Drosophila melanogaster: one gene and its partner. The protein of the gene in region 1 purifies or fractionates together with the protein of each later gene. This does not show direct contact. Each region holds a gene or a part of one and is shown on either strand. Other genes may lie near its edges. The genes, in order: CG1513 and GAPcenA.

Evidence for each region.
Region 2: the proteins of CG1513 (region 1) and GAPcenA purify together in Drosophila melanogaster (affinity purification with mass spectrometry, with the first as the bait; one large-scale study listed by BioGRID). This does not show direct contact.

What each region holds. Positions count from the first base shown.
Region 1 is NT_033778.4:9,887,132-9,895,582, reverse strand, and holds the start of CG1513 (uncharacterized protein), read left to right. Parts: upstream 1-3,893; 5' UTR 3,894-4,180; coding exon 4,181-4,348; intron 4,349-4,441; exon of another isoform or gene 4,442-4,503; coding exon of another isoform or gene 4,504-4,838; intron 4,839-4,896; coding exon of another isoform or gene 4,897-5,143; intron 5,144-5,202; coding exon of another isoform or gene 5,203-5,296; intron 5,297-5,422; coding exon of another isoform or gene 5,423-5,531; intron 5,532-5,587; coding exon of another isoform or gene 5,588-5,603; exon of another isoform or gene 5,604-5,705; intron 5,706-5,847; coding exon 5,848-5,976; intron 5,977-6,097; exon of another isoform or gene 6,098-6,458; coding exon 6,459-6,695; exon of another isoform or gene 6,696-6,768; coding exon 6,769-6,846; exon of another isoform or gene 6,847-6,861; coding exon of another isoform or gene 6,862-7,833; exon of another isoform or gene 7,834-7,935; intron 7,936-8,173; coding exon 8,174-8,417; intron 8,418-8,451. Other genes in the region: tea (telomere ends associated), read right to left, coding at 1-37, 98-328, 387-836, 892-1,635, 1,703-1,741, 1,794-2,627, 2,681-2,995, 3,050-3,474; CG30008 (uncharacterized protein), read right to left, coding at 4,504-4,838, 4,897-5,143, 5,203-5,296, 5,423-5,531, 5,588-5,603; CG12923 (uncharacterized protein), read right to left, coding at 6,862-7,833.
Region 2 is NT_037436.4:8,344,843-8,356,341, forward strand, and holds GAPcenA (GTPase activating protein and centrosome-associated), read left to right. Parts: upstream 1-1,718; 5' UTR 1,719-2,327; coding exon 2,328-2,634; intron 2,635-2,698; exon of another isoform or gene 2,699-2,932; coding exon 2,933-3,211; intron 3,212-3,413; coding exon 3,414-3,597; intron 3,598-3,659; coding exon 3,660-3,847; intron 3,848-3,906; coding exon 3,907-5,003; intron 5,004-5,057; coding exon 5,058-5,246; intron 5,247-5,305; coding exon 5,306-6,025; intron 6,026-6,084; coding exon 6,085-6,537; coding exon of another isoform or gene 6,538-6,546; exon of another isoform or gene 6,547-6,882; intron 6,883-6,924; coding exon 6,925-7,092; 3' UTR 7,093-7,437; downstream 7,438-11,499. Other genes in the region: CG7182 (uncharacterized protein), read right to left, coding at 1-1,227; Culd (CUB and LDLa domain), read right to left, coding at 7,687-8,570, 8,637-9,341, 9,400-9,768, 10,302-10,706, 10,770-11,100, 11,163-11,366.

The DNA of each region.
Region 1 (8,451 bases):
GTTATGGGCCGTATAATTCCACCCGATCTTCAGTTTGCTAAATATAATCGTGTTGTATAAATGTGCTTGCTAATCCTTTAAACATTATTTTTTTTACCTCGATAATTCATAAAGCCTCTCAGCATTTAGTTGAATATAATCTTTTATGGGTTCCGTAACTTCTAGTTCATGCTGCAATTCCAGTGGCTGTGTGCCTTGGTTGGTAGTGACGTCTTCTGGGACAACTAATGCGTCTTCGGGAAAAGGCTCTGGTTGAAATTGAGACGTGTTTTGTGTAGTCATCGGCTTACTGCTGATCGCTTCCTTTGCGACTTTAGTCCTTTTTCTGCTGCAATTATAAGGTTTATTACACATCCGGAAAAAAAGTAAAAATGTATGTGGTATACCTTTTCATTAAGATTTCTAAAGCATTTCTGCGAACAGGTAACGACATTTCGCTTTTGGACTGAAGGCAACTTTCCTTGAGCGGTGTTCTAGTGGTGCACGTCGCCAGGCAATCAGTTTCCTGTAGACAATCATTCACATTTTTCCCTGGATAACTAAGCAATTGTTGTAGTATATGGCCGGTACATGGCTTGAATCGACATGCGAACTTTTCCCTCATCTCTGGTCCAGAATAGAAGCCTTTGTAGTAGTCGCGAATAACCTCATCCTTGGATTTTCCTCTATACTCAACGCACTTCTGCATATTATTAGCAATATCATCTAGATTGCTCACATGACTTTTGAACAGCTCTAAGGATACAGGGTATGGTGGACACTCTTCTCCGGGCTTGTCGTCATTAGAACTAGGCGTCCTTGTGGATGGTATACTTTCATGTTCAGCTATTGGTCTGCTGGAGTCATGACTTATTACTATTATATCTGAAAACAAATATATGTTTAACTTACTTCTCTTCGGTGATATTTTGCGTTTCTCGTACTACATTTCTGGATGACTGCAGACAACTTTCATCGCTTAGGTTTTCTGTGGTACAAGCCACCTGGCAATTTGGATTCTTTGGGGGTAGCTCCTTGTTTTTCGGTGGAAAACTTAACAATTGTCTTATTTTTTTGCTGGGACACGGTTTAAATCGGCACTCGAACTTCTCCCTCATGTCTGGTCCAGAATAGAAGCCCTCGTAGTAGTCCTGAATTACCTCCTCCTTGCTTTTTTCTTTGTACTCATCGCATTTTTGCATCTCATTAACAATATCATCGAGATTGCTCACATGACGTTTGAACATCTCTAAAGAAATGGGATTTGGTGGACAATTTTCTGTTGTTGTTTTAGGAGTGAAAGGTACCTGGGACTTGGATTCGTTTACTGCTTTTGCATTATCTGTTCGATTCATTGTAAAAAGAGCCTTTTCATCAAGTGGCTTAGCTTTTTGTTTTAGCTTAGCCAGCATCTTAGGATTGGGGCAATTGAATTTGTACTTGAATCTTTGACGAACATCATTGCGTGCATAAAATTTATTGTAAAACTGGCGGAAAAATTTTTTGCATTGTGGGTGCGAAGGATCAGAAATTAATTTTGACAGTTGATGTTCGTCTTTAATGTGATTATTTACTAGAATTGCTCGGATAATCTCGTCATAGTTAATATATTGCCGAAAAGTTTCAAGTGATACGGGAAAAATAAAGCGCCCATGTCTAAAAAATTTTTTTTGAAAATTGTTACTTAAAAATTTAAAAAAATGGTAATTTATATTTTTCTTACTTTTTAAGGTCCACTTCAACATCCGTCACAAAGGAAGTCCTAAAATTGTGGTTTTAAAATTATGAAAACAATTCAGGTTACGCTAACTTACTCATATACATCGGTAGAATCTGTGATCTCTTCAGGTTTGGCTGGGGTCTCGTCCGAAGCTCTGGTTTTTGAAGCAGGACTCTCTGGTGTCTTGGACATGGGCACTTCGAAACCTGACGGAGGAATCTCTAACTGGGGCGCTCTATCTGATTGTTCTTCGGCAACCTCCTTGCTCTGATGGGGTTTAACTTGGGGACTTAAGACTTCAGATGACTTCTCAGGGGCTTTCGAACTGTGCAGATGGCGTTCTGGCGAAGCTAATGCCGGCATACATCTGCTTAGTTTGTTGGCATCGTTCCTGAGATTAGCTTGGTTTTCGAAAGTTTCTAAAGTATTATGTGAACTCGATAGCCCTTCAGTCGTGCTAATAGCTCCCGCAGCACAATTCTCTGGCGAAAGAGTAGCTAACTGGGACAGACCTTCACTCGGTTCGTGGGCAACCTCCATGCTGGGACTGGTTTGGATTTGTGAAGAGCCACTGGTATTCTGCGACCCTAATGACCCTTTGCTCTCAGTAATATATGAAGTGTTGGGCCTGCGCGAATCAAGTCCTGGCGAGGGATTAGCTAACTGAGGGAGGCTTTTCCTAAGCTTTTCGGCAATATCTTTGCCGAGAATGGACAGCATGCAGGCCTTGAAAGTCGACGTGCAAGGTTTTAATTTGTATGCGTATTTATATCGGATCCTCGGAGTAATGTAAAACGCCAGGTAATAGTCAAGGGCACATTCCTGGACATCCTTGCTCGCATAATTAGCATCCAGTTGCCTCATTTGCTCCACAATGTCCGATAAGTTTGCCATATTTTTCTTAAATACCTCGAAGCTGACGATGGAACTGTGAAATATTTATAGTAAACAACGAGTATTTGGAAAGTGTCCCAAACTTACTTTTTCGTAAGGGATTTCATTGCAGTAAGCTCCGCCACAGTCTTGACCGCTTTTTTGTCCAGTGGTTTCCCAGATTCAAGCAACTTTTCCAAAGGGATTTCTGTAGTTGCATTGAAGATATTCGTAGGGGATCGCTTTTCTGGATACATGTAAAAGCGGTTGTAGAACCTTTGTAGTGTAAGAAGACGACGCTCATCGTCGGACAAGAGGACCAGGCAGTGTTCTATGCTCCTGACAATTTTTTTGAACAGTAACATCTTATTGATGCACTGTAGGAATACATCAAAGGATACCGGAAAGATGAAGGCGCCACATCTGAAATGAGTCAAAATTGGTTAATCTGCTCTGCTCGAAAATAATATTACCCACCTCTCCACATTAACAATTACGTCTGGAGATTCCGATCCTGATGGTTTACATTCAACTGCAACGCCTTCAACTGCATCATGGGACTTCGCGGTTTCAGCGAGCGTCGTCAACTGGCTGCCTTCAACTAAGACTTCGGGTTGCTCTACTTGAGATGGTCCTGCAGCTGCTACGTTTGCAACATCGTTTTGTGAAATTCCTCCTGGCTCCGGTACTTTAAGCAAGTTGTCGCGTGTCCGCCTGGGACACGGCGCCACCTTGACAGGGAACCTTGCCCGTATGCTGGGATTCCGGTAGAACTCTTTGTAGTACCATCTGCTCCACTCGACCAACGTTCTATTGTCTCCATTGGCAGTTTTCAACTCACTTGCAATTTCAGACAAATTAACGATTAACTTTTGAAATGCCGCAAAGGACACTGGATACATGTTGCTCCTGAAATCAAACAATATTTAATGTTAAGATGTAAAAGATTCACAGTAACCTTACGACTTGTTCTATGCAAGTAACGTTATTTGTTGTTTATCATAAACATCACATTTCAATACCGCGAAATAAACTAGGCTGAATATCACAGTGTGACTGTGCTGCAAAATGACAATATTTATCGATAGCGAACGACTAAATATTTTCACTACGAGAACTCGAACTTACTTAAAATTTTACAAGCCAGTTAATACTTTTGTGCTTTATTGTTTATTGTTTATTTATTTATTGTGCTGATTTAAACAGGGTTATAATTTCATAGCTAGCTAATTTTACATGTTATGATTTTCCAAATGACTCCAAATTTGTAAGGTGTGCTAGGTATAGTAGGTGGTATATTCCAGCGGTCGCCGCACGGTCACACTCGAGCTGCGATTCGGAGGGCTAGAAAATCATCGATGTTTACGTACATCGATAGTTGGCAGGGCTTTGCTTTGTTTTGCAAATTCCAAGCGGAGTTGAGGCTGTGACAGATTGCGGGTGCGAGTTGTGAAGCAACATTGCGTCATCATCAGCTCCTGGACAGAAAAGAGCTCAGGGAACGAGGCAGGTCCGCGCCCGGGGACAAGGAAAGCCTTTAGCCACGAGGACGCAGAGGGATCAAAGGCGGAGGAGGAGGCGGTGGCCGTGTCACGGGAGCTGGATCAAATGGCCAGCACCACTGGAAGTGCCCCCAGCCTGGGACCCCCCCAGAGCGGGAGTGGTGGCTCTGGCACATTGGAGGGCACGCTAAGCAAGTGGACGAATGTGATGAAGGGCTGGCAGTACCGCTTCTTCGTTCTGGACGAGAATGCTGGACTGCTGTCCTATTACACGGTGAGTGGCTGCAGTGCACCTCCTGACTGAAACCCATATCGCACCCAGAACGAACTCCTCATGGCCCGCAGCCTTATCTTATCTGCTATAGATACATTTGGATACACATACACACTTGTTGGTACCCCTTTATTGCGTGATTTGTTGACAGGAGATTACTTTTTTGAGTCTGACTGAGGGGTCTGACTCTTGCGCCGCTGCGAGGCTTGATAGGCACTATTATAGAAGTCGTAAAAGCCGTAGAACATGCCAAGAATGACGGTGGTGAAGTAGAGAAGCACTAAGGGCGGCATGCCGCACAATACCAGCTGGAAAGCAACCTGCGTGAGGATAAGAACGAACTGCGTCATCTGAATCACTGTGATGCACTTCTTCACTGGAGTTAGGGCCTGCACCAAGGTCTTATCCGCCACTGCCGCCACAAAGTAGTACGAGTACATGATAACGTGAACGATAGAATTCAAGAACACGCAGAAGTAAGCAGCAGAACCTGTACAATTGAACGCATTTATGAAAATAGTCGGTCACCCAGCAGCCGGCTAGCTTACCATTTTCGTTGAAGTTGATCAGTGCGTAGACCAGCGTTACCGTGGAGAAGTGATGAAAGATGTGCAGCTTGGACACCTGGTTTTGTTTCTTGCGAAGCACAAAGATCACGGTTTCAATCAGCTCAGAGATCTTCAGCCAGAAGAGAAAGTAGGCCAAGTTGTAGTACCGCCTCACGAGCTCTGGGCTGCTCCCGATGTCGCGGCACTTCCAAAAGATGTATATGGTGTTGTCCGTAATGTACAGGACCTGCGAGAGAAAAGCAATTAGCCGATGCTGCTGCTGCTGTACAATTTATAAATATCCACCTCTTTGATAGCATATATGCAGGAAACCACCTGGATGAAATTATGTAGCAAGATAAGTCGCTTGAGCTCGTAAGGTTTGCGCCATTCCATGAAACTATAAGCGAGGTATTAAAGGTCTTCTTTCTTATATAAGTAAGCCAGCGAACCCGCTGAATTGCTAATGTCAAGTCCACTGACCCACATGCAAACAAGCGACGCTGACATTAGCATGTGAACTTACTGCGGACCCGCTTTGGTGACGAAGTACAGATAGAGGACCAGCACTGTGATCATGTACCAGGGATCCTTATAAATCGTAGGAACGTTCACCACCGGCTGCAAATTTATACCTACAATTTTATTGAAACCATCAGACAGTTTTTTGACAAATCCAAGAGGAGCTCACTTGCTGACGCCTCCATTTCGCTTCTTTGTGTTGAGCTTCCGCTGGCCTGTATCCTTTAGGTGGCGTGGGACTGGTGGACTGCAGCTCTACCGCCTTGACCGCTGGCGAACATTTAAGCGTGAACAGCACGCCGAACACTGTTTTTATATTCCCCAAGCATTGATTAGAATACATTAATTTATAGCAGGCGTAATAGCCCTTTGACAGTATGAGCTGCGATTTAATGAACTTTCCTAATTCCGACTGCATTTCTGTTACAGTCGAAGGATAAGATGATAAAGGGCGTGAGGCGCGGTTGTGTTCGTTTAAAGGATGCGCTAATCGGAATCGACGACCAGGAGGACAACACATTCACAATCACTGTGGACCATAAGACCTTCCACTTTCAGGTAAGTGTCTCCTTAGTAAATGGAAATAAAGATTGTCTAAGGAAAGCTTGATCAATGTTTTGCAGTTTCACTAATAGTTCATAATTCACCGTAATAGTTTAAGTACGACGTTGTTTGTTTTATGAACTGAAGAACCAACTCATTTTAAATTCCACACTTGCATTGATTTTTTATGACGTCTAGTGGTATACGTAAGCAAAAACTATGTAGATCAAGAGGGCAGCACGTTTCTTTTTGCAATTCGCGTTTTCGTCCCAAAAGATATAAAGCAAGCATGATGGCCTATCCGCTTTGCTTGCCAAGAGTTTTCGTCCTCTTACCGGAAAAGGGTATCCGGGCATCGACCCAGAAACCACTGTCTGGTCCTCACGTTCCACCTTTTGTTTGACTTTGTTGCCTTGATGTAACGATAAAACTTTTTCCAATACCCATACACAAGCAAAGGAGCCCACTAAACTTGCCAACTTTCCAAACGCTTGCAGGCGCGACACAACGAGGAGCGGGAGCAGTGGGTGCGCCGCCTGGAGGACACCATTCGACGCCACGCGAACCGGTCGCGTCTGTGGGACAGCCAAAGCGCTTTCTACATCGCCGGTGGCTACACGAAGGAAGGGGGCGGGAGCGGAACAGGCGGCAGAAGACCCAACCACCTGGAGTTGGTGGCGCGCCGTGTTTCCGAGGCAGATGCCTACCTCCAGCTGATGATTGAGCAAACGAACGTGAGTATTGTGCCACGTAATGCAGGCATTATGCAATTTATTGTCATTTTTTCTTGTTCTCTGTCCTGCCCAGTTACTGGACAAACGCATCGCGGAGCTGACCGATCCGGCGGAGCAGTCTAAGTGCAAGGCACTCCAGGACAACGCAAATGTAAGTAAGCAGAGGTTACACGTTTCCCTCGGACTCAGTAACTACAACCTCCAGGTGGAGTTCGTCACGAAAGTTGTTTGAGAGTTTCTCCACTTCGGCGTACGTCAGACGCCAGTAACTTTCGTCGACTGCCATGTAATAGTCCGCGTCCCGGTTATTATTAACCTTTCGAACACCTAAAACACAGCTGGTTCTTAGTGCAACATCTCTTCCATAGAGACTGAGCGTAACGTTCAACTGCAGTCCGTCGCTGGGTGTAACCAGCCAGAGGACGAACTCACTGTTTCTGTGGCTATCTGGTGAACGCCTATTCCGCAGAGCCGTATTGGGCAATGTCTGGGAAATTAGCACCACCAACGGGATGTGACTATCCAGGTGCGAGTGTTGGTTCAGCGGGAAGCTGTTATAGGGCTCACATTGCCGCTGGGATATCAATAACTGTTGTGCATTGTAAGCCAGGAGTCCCAACACCTGATTATCAGGATTCTTACAGCTCGTCGGCTTAAAAGAAAGCACAGCCCGTTCATGTTTCACTACGGGAAGAAAGCGCTGAAAGGAAGCTTCCTTGTTCTCATGATCACATAGGTAGTGCAGCAAAAGCAACTGGCTGTCTATTCGCCTTTGGCAGCCCTCAAAGAGACATTTTTTTACCTCGGACTTTATCAAGAGCTTGTTGGGTATGGTATCTTCGTCCTTCAAAGGGACTTGTCCTTCATCTGGAGGAGCAGCCTCAATGGTACCGAACATCGACTGAGACATTAGCTTTCCCTGATGCAGCTGAACCTTCTGCTGGTCATCCAGCTGTTGCATTCCAATGCGAAGTGTTTCCATATTTTCGTTGAGCTCCTTGATATCCGCTTTCAAATTGAACATGGTGTTCACCTTGTTCTTCAGCTCCAAGTGCGCTTCCTCACGCTTCTTTTTATACTCTTCGAATTGGTCGCACAACTTGTCGGCGCTGTGGATCTTTGGGTCCAGAAACTCCATTGCGGATTAGCTCTAATTGTAGCCTTTAAACCTTAAATGTAATTCGATTTCCTTGAAATGCTGGGAATTTAGAGAATTCGGATACGGGATTGTGTGTTTTTGTTTTCCCAGTGAAGTTTTTGGTTGGAATCGTATATCCAGGCCCACTGGGCCACCCACTCATATCGATTTCCAATGCAAGTTCAGGGTTAAGAGGCGGCCAGATGCAAAAGCCTGAGAGAATGTCAATCGACCGGCAGCTGTCCACCCATGGCAGCTGCTCACTTCGTCTGCAAACTTTGGCAAAGCCAAACCACTTTTTTCACCACTCCCGTTGGCTAATACGTAGTTCTCATTTCAGGCCATGCTGGATCACATTAAGCACTCGATTGTCAGCCTGCAGATTGCCAAAAACATGGCCCACCCAATAAATGGAATCTACAACGGTCCACCGGCCACGGCCTCCACTAGTTCCTCAACCAGTGGAGTTGCCATGGGCAGTTGTAACAACGTCCAGGCAGGTGGCCTTAAGGTGCCGCTAGAAGGTCAAGTAATAGGCAAGGGTGAGCTGGTGGACGACGAGGAAGACTCGGCCACTGAGAACGGTGAGTGCTCTTGGCCAAGCAACTGGTCATCGAG
Region 2 (11,499 bases), on another chromosome or scaffold:
CTCCTCCTTGTGAAGCTGCTGTTCGAGGGGGTCAATCAGGCACACAGCTTGGCGCGCGCAGCCGATGGCCACAACCTCGTCCGCCGAATGGCTGTTGTGGAGCTTGGCATCCGGGAAGCGGGCTCCCACTGCCGCCTGAAGCTTGGGGATTTGCATTGTGGCGCCTAGTAGAACGATGTCATCTATTTTACTCAACCCGGGATGCTCCTTTTGCGCCTGCTCCACACACTCGCCTAGCTGCTGGATGAGGTTATTGATCACTGGCTGTATGAGGCTCTCGAAGCGAGCACGCGACATCTGGGCATTGTAATCAACGCCGTCCATCAGGGAGTCGATATAAAGTTGCGTGGAAGGCATCGTGGTCAGGATGTGTTTGCAATTGGCGGCGGCAGTGCGTATTTTGGCCACTGAGCGGCGAGACTCATGCGGATCTAGCTTGTACTTGCGACGGAACTCCTCGCAAATAAACTGCACCAAGGCCTCGGTGAATTGCCGGCCACCGATGGGGAAGGGTCCGAAAGTGGCCAGCTGAACGAACAGGCCATTTTGGACGGAGTAGAATGCGATGTCGCTATATAAGCCACCGCATTTGATTGTCAGCACATGGCGGCGCTGTTCCGTCTGCTCCTCGCCGATGCTATAGCCTAGAACGGCGGCCGTGGGTTCGGTTATAATCTGGGCCACATGGAAGCCAGCGGTTTGAGCGGCATCTGCTAGCAGTTTGTAGGCCGAGGCGGGATAGTAGCTGGGTATGGATAGCACGGCAATGGGCGCCTGCTCCCCGTCCGTGTGATATTGATGGGCCAGCTCCAGCTCAGCGCGCAGCAGCTCCACCGTCACCTGATAGGCGCTGAGGTCCTTGGTCACAACTCTATCGTCTTGGTCCTCCCTGTCGGAGGGTACAGTGTGCTCCATCCGGAACACCAGCTCCTCCTTGTCAAAGTCGCAGGGTATTTCACGCAGCGCACTGGACAGTTTCTCCTCCGTGAGCTCTTCCTTGGGCTGAAGCAACTGAAAGCTGTGCGCCACCGCCTGGCGCGGACGGTTGGCCATCTTCTGCTTGGCCGTGAGGCCACATTCGATCTCCGAGGCTCCGTCCCAGAGAAGGCACGCTTGGGACACTCGGTCGCCCTGTTTGTTGGCGATCACCTCCGCCTTGCCATCCGCGCGCACATGGGCGATGCAAAGCGTGCTGTTGCCAATCTTAATGCCAAATCGCGGCCACATCTTTTGGGAGTCGGAATCGGAGTCAGAAGTACCCGGACTTAAGGAATTATCTTAACAAAATGCAACGAATAAACGCGCACGTTTTTTTCCAGCACGCGCGGTAGTGTTGTGTAGCAGAGTATTTGGCAACACTGGCGGGGTATTATGTCACGGCGATGACACTTTTTCGATATGTACTATATGTTTAATATGTTCTCAATATTTTCCATACATCACATACCTTTATAGATTTGGTTCTTTGAATTACAATTTAAAAATTTATTTATATTTATTTAAATTTATTCAAGACAAGTCATTTCAGTCAAAGACAACTTTGTAATGCTATTGGATTATTTAGATTGCCATATAAGCATATGGCAATATGCATAGAAAAGAAAATAACTAGTCGATTAAGTCGATAGGTACACTTATTAACACTTTCAAAAGAAGTATTGAATAACGTTAAAGCAGCTGTTTCCTTTCGATAGGAATCGACCTACTGCAGGTCATCACTAGCAAAAAAATATGTAAACAAAACAGACGGAAAATTGCAAGAAAATTGCTAAAAACCCGATAAAAACACAACAATAAAGGGTCAAAACAATGTACTACAGTTCTGCGGAGTGTAGGCTATAATATAAAAACCAAAGTGTAAGCTCAAAGCAGCTGCACGCACTAAAATAACAAAAAAATCCATAGGAATCCAAGCGCAGAGGCTACAGAGACAAACTGTTGACCCCGCCGACCCCACCGTCCACCACCCCCTTGAAGGCCCAACCCCTCCAGTTCCCACGCGAATTGGGCACTGTGTGACATACATGCGCGTGTGTGTACGCCCCCAAAACGCCAAGCAAACCGTACCGATTCGTCATCGATTTACGGCGGAACCAAGCCAAACAATGCGACTCCGCTGAAAATTGGACAAATTGAAAACGAAATCTATTAAAAGCGAGTGCGAGTACGAGTGCGTGGCCTTGGAACAGAAATTGATTTGTTTACCTGCCCTGAAAATGCGCAATTCGTAGGGCTTAAGAATAAAGAAAGTCCGAATATATCACACACACAACAAAGAGTAACCCATTTGGGAGTGCCTGGAACTGAGGCAACCTTGAGTGTTCGGAATGGATGATAATCTGAGCACCAAGTCCTCGGAATCCTCGATAACAACCAGCGGGGAGTACGAAATAGTTACCGACAGCAATGTGGCCAGTCCCATGGAGCAGGTGAAGCAGGTTGTCAACCAGGAGGGAACTCAGCCTGAAGTGGGTGGCAAACCGCCCACTTCGCTGAGTGCTCTGGCTCTGTCCTCCCCCGAGGCTGGGGGAGATCGCTCGCCCACTCTGGACATGGCCCACAATCGCAACCTAAGCGACATGCAGCACGAGATGACGGACGCCCTCAAAGATCTGGAGTTGGAACGCGGCGTAGGTGAGTAAAGAAACACAACTGAGAGGGTGAATTGGGTTGCCCTGGGTAGCCTAAAGTAAACTCAGTCGTTGCCCAACGCCAGCTGTGCACACAACGTCGCGGTCGCTCCACTATTGGAAACATCAAACGATTGCTAAGCCTAACCAGCTGCAATCTTATCGGCGCAGAGCCGTAGTGCTACGCTGTCATGGAAACAACGACAAACAAACCGAATAATAATACTTTCCTTAAACAAAATTCCGCATAATTCGGCATTTGTTATTGCTCGTCGCGTAATTGACAATTAACATATTTGCAGCTGCCAGTGGGGAGAAGTCAGCGCAACGTCTCCCGAGTCATCAGCAAAAGTCCCTGACCCTACCGCTCACGGGCTCCGGCGGGGGATCTGTCGATCCCGAGATGCGTTTCCCCTGCACCTTGTTCACGCCCAAAAGCGAGGAGACCCTCGACGATGCATCCAGCTCAAACAGAGTGGGTCATTCAGTGTTCTATGACTGCATAGACGCTAGCCCCGCCTGCGTGGAGGAAAAACAGGATGCCATGAAGCCGGAGAAGGGCGACACCACCGACGAGGAGGGTGAGTAGATCTCTTAAGTTAGTTAAAATCCCAAAAATTAAGGGGTACATTTGCCTATAAATTCTGTTCATTTTACGAAAGCCTATATACTCACAGAGTTCTTTATTATTTGTTCTATATTGTGTTCCTAGGCTCCTAAAGCTGAAATCTATGTTTAGTGTAATTATTGAAATTTAATTGACCATGTGTTTTTCACTTTCAGTTTCTGAAATCGATCAGGGCTGCACCATATTTTCCGGAGTCACCTACCTGGGCGCAGCCAACATTAATGCCCCAAAATCCGAGACGGAGGTTTATCGCATCATGGGCGAGCTAAATAGTGGCTCAAAGTCGGTGGGCCTGAAGATCACTGTGAGCATACCCAATTGCTCAGAAGGCCTGGTTGTGTGAGTAAAGTTTTTACTGCCCCTTGAATTACTCACTGAGCGTCATCATGCTGCTATTACAGCCTCCACGATGCCGAGAGCAATACTATTATTGCCACCTATGAGATATCCAGCATTATCTTGTACTATCGAGGACCAGTGGATACGGTGGAAAACGGATGCTTTGCATTCACTTGGCTTCACGGCGATGCATTGTTTCAGTGCCATGTGTTTCGGTGCCATATTCCCGAAGCGGTTAATCAAGTCAGCGGTGAGTCAGATCATACAGTGATTTCATCCCACCGATTTATTCAAAATCTTCGCCCGCAGCCTGCTTCCAGAAGGCATTCCAGACTTATCCGCCCAGCATGAGTTGCAGCCTTAATTCGGCCGTTGACATGGCCAACTCGGTAACCTCCGATGTAAGCGGAAATCCTTTAAACACGGCTGGGTATGAGTTCATAGTCTCCTTAGAGATCCGTGAGCGAGTGGCAAAGAACTCCTATGCCGCAGTGCCTCGCGATAGGGGATGCTTTAAGCTAAGGGCGAACACAGATAAGGAAGTGTGCATCACAGTCAAACAGACTCCGTCAAATGTTCTTCAACCATTGCATATCGAACGATGTTTCGGTGTTCTAGTGGCACCCGGAAAACTAGTAGTCCAAAAGGATATGCATTTGATCGACATGCACAGCATGGGTTACATTCAGCCCGGCGGAACAGGAGTAGCAACCGAATCGGACAGCAATGCCCAGCAGAGCTCCTCCTGGCCCTATACAATTCGAGCTGAGTGGAAAGCCCAGGAAAAGGCCTTTGAGCAGTTAAATCTTGAGTCGTCAAAGACCAATCTCACTGTGGCCGTAGACATTGTGATGCGACGTATACAGGAACCGGTTAGGTTCGTCATTGAGACCCCAGTGACCATTCAGTCGGCCAGCGAAATGCGTATTATGGACCATTTTATGTCAAAGCGACCCATGACGTTACGATTCTATTTGCATCTAAAGCGGACCGAAGAGTCCAACTGGAAAGTGAATAGCATTGATCCCTCTGAGGAAATAACGGAGCAGCCGGGCCACCAGCAAAGCTCTTCCCTGCTCAAGATGGGTATGAATAATCTATCGCGCATTGTGCGCAGTTCGTCCATTGCCTCGATTGAGGATGATTGTCCCTCGGACTACAGCAGCGATGGGGATGAGCCGCTGCTGAGTGGCACTGGTGAGGTATCTAAGGATTGCTCGCAGGACACGCTCGACGAATGGGATCCCATTCTGCGTGAGTGGGATTCCGAGAAGAGACCGAAAAATCTGGCACCTTTAGTACGCCTCGGCGTTCCAGAAGCACTGCGTGAAAAGATCTGGCAGAAGCTAGCCAACGTCGAGGGCAGAATGGAAATGAACGACAAGTACAAGATCTTAATCACCAAAGTGAGTATAGACGCTATCCATGTGAAAAGAAATTAATTGGAAATTTACTTGTAGGAAACCAAATGTGAGACCGTTATCCAGCGGGACATCCATCGCACTTTCCCGGCGCACAAATGCTTCAAAGAAATTGGCGGTTCTGGCCAAGATGCACTTTTTAAGGTGTCCAAAGCGTATGCCGTTCATGACAGCGAGGTTGGATATTGTCAGGGTCTAAGTTTCATAGCAGCTAGTCTGCTCCTTCATGTAAGTAATGATGATGACAATCTACATCTAAGAATGATTGCTTACACACACATTTTCAGATGCCTGAGGAGGATGCGTTCTGTGTTCTGGTAGCGCTTATGTACGACTATGGGCTCCGTGATCTCTACAAAGCCGGATTCGAGGTCCTTTACCTTCGTCTCTACCAACTGGAGCGACTGATCAAGGATCAGCTGCCCAAGCTGCACGAACACTTCACGGCCTGCGGCATTGAGACGCACATGTACGCCTCCCAATGGTTCCTAACCTTATATACAGCGCGATTCCCATTGTGTTTTGTGTTCCACGTGCTGGATGTGTTTCTACTGGACGGACTACCTGTGCTCTTCCAGGTGGCCGTTACTCTCTTATCAATCTGTGAATCCGACTTGCGGCAACTCGATTTTGAGGGCATTCTAAAGTATTTCCGGGTAACGTTGCCGAAAAAGTGCCGCAGCTCCAGTCAGGCACGCAAGGTGATGAAGCAAGCCTGCGAACGTAAGATAAAAAAACTGAAGCAGTACGAGGAGGAGTTCCTGCTGAAGAAGCAGCACAAGGAGCGCCTGGAGAAGGAGGCACAGATTTACGAGAATCGTTTCGGCGAGGAGAGGCGCAAAATGCAGGCGGAAATCGACGCATTGAACAAACAACTGACTTCCGCCAAGGAGCGAGCTGTTGAGAAGGAGAAGAAGCACACAGGCATTATACAGGAATACAAGCAGATCATCCAGCGCCAAGAGCAGGACATGAACACACTAAGCGAGACTCTAGGAAAAGTGATGGTGAGTATTGTATTGTAATATGAATTTGACGGGATATTCATTTTTCAACTCTCTTTCAGCACATGGTTTCCAATTGCCAGGATTGTCAGCAGCAGATCGACGCCGGCAATGACAACGCTAAGTCAGATGACGGCAAGAACAGGGGGCAAACCGATGCCATGCGGAATGCCAATGAGCATCCACTGGGTCCACTTGATCCGCTAAACGCTGCCTCGCAACGCATCCGCGAACTAGAGCTGGAGCTGGCCCAGGCCAAGCTAGCTCAAGTGGAAGCCGAGTGCAAGAACCAGGACCTGAACCATCAGCTCAGCAATACGCTCAGTGAGCTGCAAACCAACCGCAACAGCTGGCAGCCCTGGCTATCGAAGACCTTCAATTCGCTGCAGGAGAAGGTAACCACGCGAGGCGGCCATCGGGATAATGGTAGTGGCGGACCGATGCCCTCATTCCAATCCTACATGGGCCAGGCGCCAACTACCCTAAGCGAGGCCAGCTCCCCCAGCGGCAATCAGGTAACCTAGAGTCCAGTGATCCGGCCAACTGTTATGACTGAAAGATCTTCAGTTTATTATTTTTAAGTTTTTTATGTATTATTTCTATGATTAAGATATGGGTTATCAGCCCACGAGCTGAGCTCCAGGAATGTTTTCGAAATACTTTATTAATACCCATTACTTATCATTGATTAATTTAATTACGCGCTTAACCTCACACCATGACACACATTGAGAATCTTTATTTAGTCGACTCTATGCAGGCATTGAACCCCTCTGCTGTTTCTGTTAGTACCCTAAAACCCGGGTTGCTTATGATTTTATTGATATTTTGCGTTGCAAATAAAACCCCGTGTATATAACATACTGAATTTGAATCTTTTGGTCCCTCGAATGGCTGCCCAGGAGTACAAGACCTTTGCATTTGCGTCGGTGGGAGGGTCACCGAAGTTGCCCAGCAAATTCCAGGCCACCAAGCTGCGCAACAGCATCGATAGTCTGCGCAATATAGTAGTGCCCCTGGACACTGGCAAAACGCTAGCCGAGAATCTCAAGCAACAGCTGCAGCAGTAGGAAACGATACAGCTACAACGTAGGAGGATCTGGATAGCAGGCAGACCTACGGCATTGACTACGTCTGGTATTATTTATCATATTCGTCTATATATACATATAAAAACGTGCATTTTGATTTCCATATATACGCGAGTAATAGATTTTTATTATTTTGCACTTTGAGGCACCCGAAAGTCAGTGCTGGTCAGGATGTGCCCCGGATCAATTAGTGGGTTGAAGTGAATCTTGGGCGATGGATGTTCGTTGTTGTTTTTTGTGATCTGATCTGGGGCACATATTGATCTGCTCTGGCAAATGCTACACGTATAACGGCTATAAATAAATAAATTAACAAAAAATGCTAATTCATAATGTAATTATTCATTTCTTTTTGCGGTATGGTACATATTATAAAGAATACAAACGTTGCGACCTTTTGGATAAGTCTTGATGAAGTTGAAGTTAATTATTTATTAAGAATTTCAATAAGCTAATAACATTCGAGTAAGAAACAGGCTTATTTATTTATATGTGACTAGAATCCGACCAGAATCACACCAGGCTTTAATACTATCGTTCCACTTGTCCACTCTTCCATTTTGAATCTCCCGCTCAGATGAAGAACAATCGCTGCATTGCCTCGCTCGTTTTTTGTGGCGTCGATACCGCCATTGTCGCGTAGTTCATCAAAAGATCGGCCGACGAGCTGCGCTGCATGAGACGCCTCCTTCCGGCACTGCCACCTCTGGCATTGCTAAAGGATCGGCTCCTCACATGACCCCGATGACGCCTCTTGGGCCGCTGGGCTACGGCTCCAAAGCAGGACACCTGCTGCTCCGCTTCGCTCTCACTTTCGCTGTGATTCGGGTGACTTTCCACTATCACATGGGACTGGAGTGTCTGGTTGGATTGCTCCATCTCCTGGGTAATGGTCTCCGATCCACTTGTGTCCTCGGGCGTCAAGCGAGCTCGTTTGCCCACACTATAACTCGATGGGTCCCTCGACAACTCGGATCCGAAATTACTACTGCTCCGTTCATGTGGAAGATTAGTGCCGTAGCTCAGGAAATCCGGGTACGGCAGATGCAGCTCATCGCTAGTGAATGCTTCAGGAGAGGAGAAGGTATGTCGCAGCCTCCGGACACGGTAACCCCTGCCAGGTGGAACCTGTTGCACCACCAACCACGATCTCTTTAGGAAGGTGTGCTCCGTGCAATTGCTGATTGTCTGCTCCGGACTTTGTTTCTGCAATTGGTTCTGGTCGGTTGTCACAGGACTCTCTGCCGTGGTGGAGGGCAAGCCTAGAGTGAGTGAAATGCTAAGTGAGTCGCCTCCCTGGGTGCACTCATCTGCCGTGCTGCCGGGCGTTGTGGCTGACCCACCTGCTGTGGGTAGTTCACCCCCAGCGGATAACGATGACGGGCTCGTTGAAATCCCCACGGATTGGACCCGCTGCCCTGACTCCTTTGCTGCCGGGAGAGACGTGCCTGCAGTGCCTGCAAGTGGGACTCTGTGGGTAAGTTAGCGACTGCAGGGCGGGATTGGGGGAACTCTCGACCTACCACAAATAGCCGTGGCGAGGAGCATTCGCTGGGCCATCGTCTGGACGTGTTCGGCATCCTCCGTTGTATCCGTGGCAGCCACCGCATGGGTCATTGCCGCCGCCGAGGTACTGGGCTGTTCTTGATCCCTTTCCAGGGTGCAGCTGCGATGCAGTGGGAGTACCGATTGCACGGTGCAATTGCTTGCGGCGCGACTGCAGCTCCGATCTCTAGGCGGAGCTCGACGGGCCCGTCTCTGGCGACGTGGCTCCCGTAGCTCCTGTTGCATTCCTACCTTGATGACCTCCTCGTAATCGGGTGGTGCCTCGTAGCTGGGTGGCTCATCGGGCGTGCGATCCTCGTCCTGGCGATCCAACAGCTCACTGATCGTCTGCAGGTGGCTTTGAAGCTCACGTTGGTGTCGTGCTCTAACCCCCATCCTGTACAGGATCACCATCCAGCCGGACAGCACACCAAATATGCCAAGTGTGCTGATGATAAAGATTCCCGTGGCCGTCTTAAGATCTGGATACTGGTCTATCTTGGGGAAATAATAGTTGGGCTTGTGAGAGTACCAGCGACGATCGTGATGCAGGTGTGCCCAGTCCTCCTCGCAGGAATCCGGCTCATCGCTGCCATCCCCACAATGGTCGAAGCCATCGCAGTGGAGGCGAATGGATATGCAGTGATTGTTCCCGCACAGAAACTCCGAGCCAATATAGCAATCTAAGCAATTCGAATTGGTTAATTAAACATTAAATTTAAATTTTCCAATCGAACTCACTCAAGTAGTTGAACACGCTGTAGACGATGGCCAGCTTGGAGGACATCCCGAATACCCCACGCAGTCGAATGTAGTAGCCATTGAGGATGGGCGCCACATGACTCTCCTTGCTCAGCCCATTGTTCGGCCACATCACATTCTCGATCTCCACGGCATCCGAGGTGGTGCCCTGCCGTATTGTGAGCTCAGATCTGGCGGCCATGCCGTAGAAGTCATCCACTCTCAACGAGATGTGGGTTTTCATCATCATGTAGTTGTTGCCGGGCTTTATAATCCAGATGCAGTCAAACAGCCGCACGTCCGTGGCATTTTCGATCATGTTCATCATGGTGATGGCGCCACCAGGTCCGGTAACCATTCCCCCGCAATCTAGAGGTGTAATAGAGATATGTACATAAGCATTTATTTATGTGCTCTTGCATCATGCATTGTGATCCAACCTGTCGCAATAGTGCATAACCAACCCCATTCCGGATTATATACAAGTATTTGCCAACCACCCTACGGGCAATGATCCAAGAAATCGATTGTCTTACCAAACCGAACCCAACCAGAGTCACCCAGTTTCCACTTCAACGCCTTGCATTGACATTGATATTCGCCAAGTGCCCACCCCACCCACTACCTTCGCCAAAATCAATATGACAATTGCCTGCAGACTTTCAAGTGCTCGACTAATCCGAAAATCATTAAAATGTCCCTATTCCTACAGAGAAAAGATATACTAATCCATTTAAAAAGTTAATCAATCTGCGAGTTCTAAAATGAAGATAAGCATAATGTTCTATACTTTTAAAAACCTCGAATTTTTTAATCCTGCGGAATATTTGTGTTTTAACCTTAGATCTGAGTTGTTTGATAGTCTTAGTTTTTGTTCAGTGCACTGCAACCCATTCACTTACCTGTGTAGGGCACCAGTCGCTCGTCCTTGAGCTGCTTGGAGGATACGAAGCTAACCTCCGCGCGAAAACCCACTCCGGTGGCGGAATTTCCTCGAAACTGCAGGAGCAGAGACTTGCCGCTGCTCACCGTGATCGGCGGACGGAAGTGCTCACCCGTATAGGAGTCCAGCATCTGGCCATTGGAGTCGAAGATCTCTAGGGTGGAGGTGAGGCCCAGCTGGAAGTCGGTAAAATCCAAACGCACCTGGCAGTTGTCCGCCTCGCAGGTGAGGATGTGTTCGATACCATAGTCGCGTGGATATGCCATCGGGAAATACGGCGTGGAGATCACTTGTGGCTGGGACTTTGTACTCCCATTGCCCACAATAGACTGCTTGGGGGAGCCACTGACTATCCGCACGTTGCCTATTCCGAGGGAAATCCGGATAGAGCATTCTTAAAAACCTACCAACTGATTCTAAATCTTACGTTCCGAGAAGTATTGAAGGGAGAACACGTGCGCATTGCTGGCTCTGTAGAAGAATTTCAACTGCAGTGTCCTGGTTTTGCTCCGAAACACCTTGCCATCTCCACAGAACTCTTGGCCGGAAATGGTGGAATCATAGGGCGGCTCCGAGAACTGGATATGCTCGCAGGGACACATGCTGGACTTGCCACCCGTATTGCCGCAACTTTTGGAGAAGTTGGCATAGGTGAAGGCCACTCGGATGACGCACTCGGCACAGGTGACCAGCTCCAGGCTGCACTGGTACCACACATCCCCGGCCACTGCATCGTTCTTAAAAACCAGCGGCGAGCTCTGTTTTTAAGTTCATAATTGCTGACCAAATCCCGTCTGGAGAAGCTTGTAAATACACTTACTCTATAGGCAGTAGTAGTCACATTCCTGGCGTGCACCTCTCCAGCTGGACTTCCCAGTTCCAGGAAGTGACGTCTTCCGTCCCAATGATTGCATATATCCAGATCCCGGTAGCTACTGCTGGCGGGATACGCCTCTCCTGGCCAGCAGAGCAGGCAGATCACGTAGGCCAGCAGGTAGCCATAGCCCAATGCTTCGGCTAGCATCGATAGTTTCGTCCTTCTAACAGGATCCTGAGCCCCTTCCGCTTGAACCGTCTCGGTCTGGTGCCGCCAAGTGTTAGAACACAACTGTGGCCATTTCGCTGGCAAATCCAATAAACCCAGAGCCATCAGAAGC